2 linked regions of the Ovis aries genome follow. The protein of the gene in region 2 purifies or fractionates together with the protein of the main gene of each other region. This does not show direct contact. Links are inferred from orthologs where the notes say so. Each region holds a gene or a part of one and is shown on either strand. Other genes may lie near its edges.

Region 1 (5,042 bases), on a different chromosome or scaffold from region 2:
GCTTATTTAACTTATATGCAGAGTACCTCATGTGAATTGCCAGGTTGGATGACTCACAAGCTGGAATCAAGATTGTTGGAAGAAATATCAATAACCTCAGATATGTGGGTGACACCACCCTTATGGCAGAAAGCAAAGAAGAACTAAAGAACCTCTTGATGAAAGTGAAAGAGGAGAGTGAAAAAGCTGGCTTAAAACTCAACATTCAGGAAACTAAGATCAAGGCATCTGGTCCCATCACTTCATGGCAAATAGATGGGGAAACAGTGGAAACAGAGACTTTATTTTTGGGGCTCTAAAATCCCTGCAGATGGTGACTGCAGCCATGAAATTAAAAGATGCTTGCTCCTTGGAAGAAAAGCTGTGACCAACCTAGACAGCATATTAAAAAGCAGAGACATTACTTTACCAAAAAAGGTCCATCTAGTCAAAGCTATGGTTTTCCAGTAGTCATGTATGGATGTGAGAGTTGGACTATAAAGAAAGCTGAACGCAGAATTGATGCTTTTGAATTGTGATATTGGAGAAGACTCTTGAGAGTCCCTTGGACTGCAAGGAGATCCAACCAGTCAGTCCTAAAGGAAATCAGTCCTGGATATCATTGGAAGGACTGATGCTGAAGCTGAAACTCCAATACTTTGGCCACCTGATGCAAAGGGCTAACTCATTGGTAAAGACCCTGATGCTGGGAAAGATTGAAGGCGGGAGGAGAAGGGGACAACAGACGATGAGGTGGTTGGATGGCATCACCGATGCAGTGGACATGAGTTTCAGTAGGTTCTGGGAGTCTGTGATGGACAGGGAAGCCTGGCATGCTGCAGTCCATGGGATTGCTAAGAGTCGAACACGACTGAGCAACTGAACTGAACTGAACTTTCCATTTGATTTGTTCAACCCTTTACACTGTTCTCAGAACCAGTCTCGCCTGGAAACTGCTGCTGCTGGGCTGGAACTCCAGCCGGCTAGACTGGCAGTGCTGTGACCATCCTGAGGGCCCTAGTGGCTTTGGCTTGGCTGGTGTGGCCGAGGGAGGACAGGATTTGAGCCTGGACCCACGGCCACTGGTGCTCATGGTCAGGTCTGCCTTCTGGGGGAATGGGGCAGATACTCCACCTCCATGCTATTGGCTGCCGCCGGACCCAGTGGAACATTTGGCCAGCATCCCTGCAGCCCTGGCCCAGCAAGTGGGCCAGCTGGGGAGGAGTGAGGTAGGTGCACAAGGCTGTCTGCACCTCTTCCCTGGCTTCAGGCCTGGGGGCAGCCCTCACAGTGGTGACGTCGCATGTGGCAGTGGCAGGGATGGGAAGAGAAAACACTCCATGCCCCAAGATAAGCAAAAAGCCAGGGACAAGACCGACCACCAGGCTATATGCCAATGTGCCCCCAAGGAGCCCCCTGGGCAGGCACCCTACACACACATGTGACCTGATTTGTGAGAGAGGAGCCTTTGTGGATGTGACCAAGTTAAGGGTCTGGGGAACTTCCCTGCTGGTCCAGTGGTTAAGAATCTGCTTTGCAGTGCAGGGGACAGGGGTTCGATCCCTGGGCTGGGAAGTTCTCACATGCCATGGAGCAACTAAGCCCATGGGCCACAACTACTGAAGCCCGTGCCCCACAACTAGAGAGCACCCCGCAACTCGCCACGAGAGAAAACCTGCTGGCAGGGGCAGAGGCCTAGTGCAGCCGAAAATAAATAAGTAGAGTTGGGGAAAAGAGAATCCAGCTTACAATGCAGGGGGTGGGGGTTCAGTCCCTGTTTGAGGAACTAAGATCCCACATCCCACAGAGCTATTAAGCCTGAGAGCTGCAGCTACTGAGCCCTGAAAGACCCTGCAGGAGGCAGGAAAGATCCTGTGTGCCACAACTGAGACCCGATGTAGCCAAAACAAAACTTTTAAAAAAAAAATGTAAGGATCTGGAGGTGAGGCCACCTTGGATGAGGGTGGCCCTGAATTCAATGACAAGTGTCCTTAGAAAGAGGAAGACAGACCCACAGAGAAGCCCCGTGAAGACAGAGACAGGAGGGAAGTGGCCACAGGTGTGGATGCCTGGAGCCCCAGCCCAGCTAAGCTTGTACTGTTCCCATCAAACAAAGGAATGGCCTTTCCCAGAGAGGTGGAGTGGGCCCAGGTGGGGGTTGGCAGGGTGCGGAGTGAGTCGGGGGGCAGGAGGGAATGGAGAGAGGTCAGCTCCGCTGTGTGACCATCCTCCACGCCCCACCCCCACCCTCAGGACCCGGGGTCTGGACTCAGCACCTTCTGTTTACAGTCCTTGCCAAGCCCAGCTCTGGCCTCACCTGCACACACACGCTTCGGGACACAGTGGGACACGTGTAAGTCCCAGACCTCCGGAGGGACACTGTGTGGAGCAGACATGGCCTGTAGGCCCTGATGAGTCTCCGTCTCTCTGAATGGGCCTGGGGGTCTTGCTCACAGATTGGCTGTGCCGGTCACTTGTGGCCCTGTGTTCTGAGAGCTCATTCGGAGGCTGTCAGGAGACTCCTGACTGTCTGGTCTCTTTTCTTCTGCTGCTTTCCTCTTGCCCACAGACTTCTGTAAACTTTGCCTAGTTTCTCTTCCTGTGACGCCCAGCCCGCAGCCTGGCTCCTGGTTATCTGCATGCACTGGACTTGCTGCTTCACAGCCCCTCCTTATTGAGGCCTGGTGCCTGCCTTCCACCCACTTGGACCTTGAGCCAAGTGCAGGCCACACACAGCAGGTGGCTTACCTGGACCCGCATCCAAGCCTCTGTGCTCTGGCACCTGGTGCTTCCCCAGGGTGTCTGCTCGGGTCGGGGCCTCTCCGGCCCGCTGTCTCCTGAACTCTGGTAGGAGGCTCACTTGGCTCCTCAGCGTCTTCTCACAGTAGTGTGTGCACTGCTTGGGGTGACGTCCGCAGATGGAGGCACAGCTGATGCAGTCCCTCAGGAGCAGGTCATAGTACCTGCCTTGCTCTTCGCGGCAACTGAGTGACTCTGGGAGACAGAGATCAATGATGTTACTGACGGACACACACAGGACCTGCAGGTTTGACCTCAAAGGGCATCCCAGTGAAAAAAAATCCTAGTCCAGTTCCCCAAAAGCAATTCCAGAGTAGTCCCAGTCCTTTTCCATGATGCAAACACTAGATGGTATCTTGTCCACTGTGTGCTGTTAAGCTGCACTGCATGTGTTTTGATGTGTAGTATTTTTTTCTATATCTAGTTTAAAATGTTCTTGTTTTTCATTAGTATTTGTTCTTTGCTCTACATATTAAAAGTGCATTTCCTAGTACTAACCATATAAAGATTTTCTAGTTATATTTTACCATTGATATCTAAGTTATTACGTTATCACAGGAGTTCTTTATTTCGAATCTCATTTTCAAATCTCATAAAGGAGAAGCATATCTCTTATAAATACAAGGAATGGAGAAGGAAGCCAGCATACCCCTTGGTGAGTTGGGGAGGGGCCTGGACAGGAGGTGGGAAAGCTTGAACGACAGTGTTCTTCCTGTCCTAATAATAAATGAGAGTCACAGGAGCTCAAACAAGTATCACTACCAGGGGCAGAAGTGAAGCAAAACGAAGGCCATTCATACTTGCTCAGAGAGCAGTTCTGAGTGCATTACAGACCTGCCTTTCTGCAGGGCGGGTCCCCTTTGTCTCTAAGGAGGATTCTGTTCCTATGGAACCGTGACCTGCAGGCAGGTTTGCAGGCATTTTGGAGGCAGCACACGACAGAGGCCCAGAAGCCAGACCTTGAAGCTACTCAGGTTTGGGGCACCCTCATCCCCACTTCACGTGGCAGCTGGGCCTCTCTGTGACTCAGTCTCCTGTTTCCCAGGAGAGGGATAATCACAATATAATATGGTGATTTCTTCCAGTTGCTATGAGGATTTGAAGCCCCCAACACAGTGCCTGACACATAGTGAATAACGCTCAAGGTTTAAGTAGGATATTCACCACGCCTCTTTGCAATGCAGACATGCCAGCCCTTATGTCCTTTTCAAAGTAGAGGACAAGACCAGGGAGGCATAGATCTGGGACCTCCCCTTGCCCTGCCCTGGCCCTGGGCCCCCAACCCCAGCACAGGGGGAGGTAGCCTAATGGCGGCCTTGTCCCAGGGTTGCCACGACCTCCTGCCCTCCTCGGGTCCCCCATGTGCCTGTGTAGGTGACAGCTCCGCAGGCCACCACCCTCACTGCCAGACCTCGCAGACTCCCCACAGGGCCTGAGTGTTTCTGCTATATTTTCTGGGTCTTGGGCCTTTGTCCACACTGGTCCCTTCTCAGGGGGCGCCCTTCCCCCTCACCTGGCCTCCACATCCTCAGCCTTCAGTGATCAATCTCAGGTGGTGCCTCCTACAAGAAAACCTCCATGCTCCTCAGCCCATCAGCCAGTGGGTCTCTCCCAGCCATGGTGCTTTATGGTTCATCTTTTAACCATGAAATGTAGTCATTTCCATTCCTCTTTCCAGGGTTTGTCGGTCAACATAATGAATGACCACCTCGCTAAAGGATAGTGGCTCAGAGTCATGGTGTTGGTGTCAGAAAGTCATTTTTCAAATCCTATCTCTTCCACTGTTATGCTGTGTGCTCTTGGGCAAGTCACTTAGCCTGTCTGAGCTCCACTCCACCAGTATTTATATGAAGCACTGTGTGTCAGGCACTGTGCTAGGCTTAAGAAAGGAATTGAGCCCACAGTCTAGTGGTTGAGACACACATAAAACAAACCCACAGGAAAGAACATGATACAAGTCATGATGAGTTCCATCAGGCAAGCAAAATACACTTGTCAAGACAATCAGAATATGGCGTGAGTGTAGACGATGTTAAAGAATTACTGCTGAGAGTGATAAAATGTTGAGTTTGTATTTTGAAGGCCTATGTATTAAGGATTCATGATCCACTATGCACAGGTAAAACAATACGAGTTCTTGGATTTACTTTAAAATACACAAGTTAAAACAATGATTGGGAACCGAAAAAGCAGTATTCCTAAAGCTGCTGATGGGTAGACGGGTTTGTTATGCTGTTCTCTCTCAGTTTGATAACTTCTATAGT
Region 2 (5,698 bases):
TCTCAGGGGACAGCAGGCTTCCTGCATCCTTCCTCTAAGAAGGCAAGTCTGGGATAGCCTAGGGGGAGTGGGATCACTCCCACTTCCAGTCCCTGGCAGAGACTTGAGACGAAAGCATCACTTAATAAAGACCCCCTGAAGCCAAAAAAAAAAAAAAAAAGAAAGCACATCTAAAAGGCTCAGGACTCAAAACAGATGCCATATATTACCTCAGTCACACTTTGGGGCAAGAAATGAACTCCTCTGGCCCTCAAATAATGAGGTGTTTCTATTATAGATAAAATAGCTTGGTTATCTCGCTTCTCACACAATGAAACAGAAAATATCACAATAATACTTCAGTTACATTTATTTCTAAAACTAAAATATCATGAAGGGAGTAAAGGAGTAAGCATTACAAAATGGAAGAATAGTAGGAGCAATGATTAACAGCTGAAAATCCGACAGCAAGAAAAAAGTCCAGAAACCCAAAAAACCTCAAACGAAATGAGGCGCAAAAATAGGACATAATTTAAAAAACATGGAAGTGCAGAGGCCTTTCCATAAAAAAGATAAAAAGCTGCTATACATCTCACTAAATACTGAAAGCTACAATGAAAATTTGTCATCAGAAAAAAATAAAATCTGTTCAACAGAATTCTCTTTAAGAAAAAAATGGCATAAAGAGAGACTTTTAAAAACTTTTTTGCTTAATAACATTAACCTTAATTATCTGAAAATTTACTTATGTGCCTGGTACTTGGTAGGTATTCTTAAAATGTCTACTGAATGGAAACACCTCAAAGAGCAAGACACTGATCTACGAGTTGTGCTTTTCTTTTCTTCACATATTGTAAAACAGTAAAACACACCCTTCCCCTTCACTGAACAGCCACTGGCATCTAAGGGTACATGATGGACTGCTATTATGGTAACAGTACAACATTATAAAATGCTAAATGCCTCTGAACTCTAAAAACATTACATCACGTTCAGGACCAAAACTGCATTTTAGTATTTCAAGTTATCTGAAAAGCGGTAATTAATATATAGGATATGTAGGTAATTTACCCTTTGGTTTTGGAATGAAACTGCCTGGGTTTAATCCCAGTTGTCACTTAGTAATGTGACCCTGTACAAATGATTTCACCTGAGTCTTCATTCCCTTCAATCTACAAAACAGATTCAAATGCTACCTGGCTCATAAGGATGAGGTTAAATGAATTAATATATGTAAAGCACTTAAAATGGTACTTAGCATATAAAAAGATTTTAGCATTATCATCAGGCTCTGTATTTAACTGGAACACTTCACTCTGTACCTAAGGCAAACAGAAGTTTATAACACATCTCCAAACAGTCACATGGATCACAAATATTACATTAATATTAGAAATGAATCTTATGGATTAAAAGCACTCATTACTATAACCAATTTTCATTTCCCACTGTTTCTTACCAAATATTTGCAGACAAAAGCTCTAACTCCAAAGGCAAGAAGAGCACAGCCCACCAATCTAAATATTCGAAAAGAGTCAAATTCTTCTGTTGTATTTCCATCTTCTTGACTGGGCTTTTCACTAATCAGCTGTTTCCTTAGCTTCATTGCTTCTTCAAATCTGGAGAGGTACTGTTCCAGGCCGTGGTGAGAACCCCTCTGGACAGAGTCGGCTGTCAGGTCCCCTCTGTTCCGCTGCCGGAGCTCAAGGCTTATATCATTACTGCACTCAGAAGGGCTAATGAAAGAGTCCAGTTTGTCTCCCAGCTGAGTTCCCTTTACCTCGGCCACTCCACTGTGGTCAGCCGGTCCTGTACTGACTGAATCACCCAGCACTACTCGCTTTGAAACCGAAGGAATGGTGAGGGAGTTCAGTTTATCACTGTCCTGCTGTTTTGATTTTGTTTGACTTTCTTCTTCTGAGAAAAGAAATTTAGAAGCCTTAAGTATTACATACTGGCCAACATCTTTCTTATTAATATTTAAAAATATGCCACTAGAGCTAAAATTTGGCAGTCTCTGAATTAATACTGATCCTTCATAAAGAAACAAATTCCTTCCTCTACACACAAAAAATGTCAAAGACAGTATTCTTTCAGAGGATATAACCCAAATTTTGGGGACAGAAGACAAAGCTAATAGACAAGTTGGGAAAGAGGAACGGAGATATTCTAAAACAACTATTTTTAATATTACATTTCTGAATCCAGAGTCCGATCAGCATAGGGTGTGGCATATCCTCCTGCTACCGGTTTGCATAACCCTTCTACTGTAATCTAGGAGACATTAGAAGGTACTTCAGCACTTTTAGGATGCTGTTCTAGTTTAAAACAAAACAAAGGGCGGGGAACCTTTAATGACAGACAAAATAAAAATCTCAAAGTAAAAGAAAAAAGAAAATGCTTTAAGAAAGAATATTCTGCTATTAACCATTAAAGGAGAAAATGTGTCTCCTAACAATTGTTCTAGAATTTGAAATAGGGCTCTTACCTCTCTTGGCAGTTTTCAGTGGCAAATCTGTGAACTGTCTAAAAATTCTGAGTTATATATCTAAAGCCCCACAGAGCAAAAGTCACAAGGATCTAAGGAACTTGCAGCCAGTGACTGAAGGCCAAATATTAGAGGCAACACTAAATAGAAATGTAAGAGTGTACAGTAAATACAGGGGAAAAACCAATTTTTTTTAAGAAACCCATTGTACATGTCATTGGGGGAGAAATGAGGAACTCCTTTCAGTGCTGAAGGCAGTTCCTGACATCATTCATATCAATCTCTGCACATTACGAGATAAGGCCTCACATGGGCACGTTTCCCTTGTTGGGTCTCTAAAGAATGGTCGCTCCAATTTTTTTCGCCTGTTTAAGAAGGCCTGCAGATGAGTGTCGAGGGCACCGCACAGACACCTGGATATGGGGCCGTGGTTCACGTTGGACAGACTACAGGGGCAGTTCAGTAAAGACAAGCTCATGAGGGCCGACAGAGCAAAAAGAAGGCAGACGGTAAGGAAGGCACTGGAAGGGAAAGCATTGACAAGGGAAAGAAAGACAGGCAATCTTCCTGACGGGCACGGTAGGTAGAGCAGTCTGGGAATAAAATGTGCGGCCTTCAAGAGAGGCGAGGGGGTGACGAGGGCAGGGTTGGGGCCGCCTCAGGGTCAGTGCGCAGAGAGTATACCACGGCAGAGGGTCTCAGGATCGAGAGCATTGCAGTTTGCGGCGGAAAACTAAGGAGAGATACAAGAAACGTCCTGCGGTGAAGAAGTGAGAACCTGGGACCTCATCAAAGGGGCGGGGCCGGAGGAGAGGTCAGAGAGCAGGGCTTAGTCAGAAAAGTCAAGGGGTGGAGGAGGGCAAGGAAGAATGATCCCCGAGACTCAAAAGGGATGGGCAGGAAACTATGGGGAACGGAGGTTCTCACCCGCGCTGCTCCCAGGCCTGTGAAAGCCCATGATTCGGTTGATGCGCTGTTCCGAGTTCATGAGCAGCTTTCTCCGCCGCAGCTCCGCCCGACGCTGGGAAGCCGACAGGCCTGAACCAGCCGGGGCCCCCGGCCGGTCCCCGCTGTCGGTAGCGACGGCGGCCGGCTCCATCTTCCCCTCCACTGTCCAGGAGTGGTGGCGATGACGTGAGCGGCAGCCGCGGCGCCCCAGACTTCAGACTGGGCCGCAGGCCGCGCGTGCCCCTACCGCTGTGGACCCGCCCCCCAGAGCGCAGGGCCGCACATGCAGCGTAAACGGGCGCGCCGCCTGTCGGGACCAAGCGCGAGCTCTGCGCCGCCATCTTGAGTAAGGGCATCCTTGGCCGCTCTAATTCCTCCCACCTGGGCTGGTCCTTAATGCTCCTCCCCCGCCATCGGGCGCCGTTGCCGTTCACTCGGAGGTGAAGAAACCCGGCATCCGGTTTGACCCATTAGAAACATGTGAGCAAGGAATAGACTCCGCCTACCTGATGCCAGGAAGCAAAATGGAGCTTGGAGTGGCAGGCACTGGTTTCCAGTGACCTTCTTCGGGCTCGCTTAGAGGCGTCAGGAATACGTAACTTCGAGAGCGACGCTTTATGGAGCGTTGCGGCTGGGATTTGTTCTTGGTGCTGATTCCTCATCTTCAGCAGTGCTTCTACCAAATGCATGCCTGTTTTGATAAAGACTTTCCCAGTGAAGCCTTCCCTGTCCACTCTATATTGTCGCCCCGACTCAACACTCTCTGTTCTCCTTATCTGCCCTTTGTCCTTAACAGTTATAACTGACTCTCAAGCTGAATGTACTTTTATTATCTGCTTCCCACTTCGTAAGATATAAGCTCCATGAAGACAATCACTGTGTTCGTAAATCTAGGGCTGCAACTCTTAGAACAGTGTAGGCCCTCAACAAGGGTGCCTTATCCATTACACCATGTTGACAGCATACAATAGGGGCCCAAGAAAATGTTTTAATTTGAATTTTTTATTGAAGCAAAGTTGATTTATAAGATTGTGTTAGTTTCCAGTGTACAGCAAAGTAATTGGTGTATATATGTGAAGGTGTTAGTCCTTCAGTTCTTTCCAACTCTGTGTGGCCTGCCAGGCATCTCTGTCCATGCTATTCTCCCGGCAAGAATGCTAGAGTGGGTAGCCATGTCCTTCTCCAGGGGATCCTCCCTACCCAGGGACTGAACCTGGGTCTCCCGCGTTGCGGCAGATTCGTTACCATCTGAGCCACCATATGTATGATGGGCTTCCCAGGTGGTGCGGTGGAAAAGAATCTGCATTCCAGTACAGGAGACAAGTAGGTTTGCTCCCTGGGTGGGGAAGATCCTCTGGAGTAGGAAATGGCAACCCTCTCCAGTTGCCTGGAAAATTTTATGGACAGAGGAGCTTGGCAGGCTACAGTCCATGGGGTCACAAAGAGTCAGACACAACTGAAGCAACTGGGCATGGCAAGGCAAAAGGGCTCTGGGACATCTCAAGAAAAATTTCCCCTGGTATCAGAACTTTACAAGGGCAAGTCCATCTCCATTTAAAACAATTTTTGTGTGTTATTTTTTGCTTTTCCTTACCATTAAAAAAAAAACCACTCTACCCCATGCCTAGCATTGAGAGCACTAGATTAAGTTTACCTGAATAATTGCACAAATTTTTGTTTTAGAGGAAGTGTCAAAACTTGGCATTTTCAATGAGTTTTATAAAGATAAAAAACTATTTAGGCTTATTTGGTATGTACACACATATACATATATACTTCCCTATATTCTTTTTAAAATTATTCTTCCCATTATAGTTTGTTATAAGATACCAAATACAGTTCCCTGTGCTAGACAGTAAGTCTTGGCTGTTTATCAATTTTATATATGAAAGTGTGCATCTATTAACTCCATTACTTCCGATTTATCCCTCCCCTGCCTTTTCCTCTTTGGTAACCATAAGTTTGTTTTGTTTGTTTCTAAATGAGTTTGTTTAGTTTGAATTTAAATGAGAAGGAAAATGCAGTTATAATTTATATATAATGATGAATCCAGCCTGGATGGCAGGCATTATCATACTGACACAGTCATTATCATATTGACACAGTCATCAAGTATAATTTTAAGTGTGCTTTTATAGAGGAAGGACCCCACAAAAGCAAAGTACTGCTACAGCCCACAAAAGTTGTAATGCAGCCCTGGTGGGCAATAATGACTAAGTGAATGAGTAAATGAGTGAACTGATTCCTTGTCAGCTCTTGAGAGATGCCATGGTCAGATCATAT

The links. The genes of interacting proteins can lie anywhere in the genome.
Region 1: the proteins of CAMLG (region 2) and TNFRSF13B purify together in Homo sapiens (affinity purification with western blotting; 3 studies listed by BioGRID and IntAct, with this or other methods). This does not show direct contact. The link is inferred for Ovis aries from reciprocal best matches to the Homo sapiens genes CAMLG and TNFRSF13B.

The regions. Positions count from the first base shown.
Region 1 is NC_056064.1:34,854,672-34,859,713, reverse strand, and holds part of TNFRSF13B (tumor necrosis factor receptor superfamily member 13B), read right to left. Parts: intron 2,974-5,042; coding exon 2,728-2,973; intron 1-2,727. UniProt on the Homo sapiens protein: Receptor for TNFSF13/APRIL and TNFSF13B/TALL1/BAFF/BLYS that binds both ligands with similar high affinity. Mediates calcineurin-dependent activation of NF-AT, as well as activation of NF-kappa-B and AP-1.
Region 2 is NC_056058.1:43,870,475-43,876,172, reverse strand, and holds the start of CAMLG (guided entry of tail-anchored proteins factor CAMLG), read right to left. Parts: upstream 3,682-5,698; 5' UTR 3,567-3,681; coding exon 3,395-3,566; intron 1,897-3,394; coding exon 1,439-1,896; intron 1-1,438. UniProt on the Homo sapiens protein: Required for the post-translational delivery of tail-anchored (TA) proteins to the endoplasmic reticulum.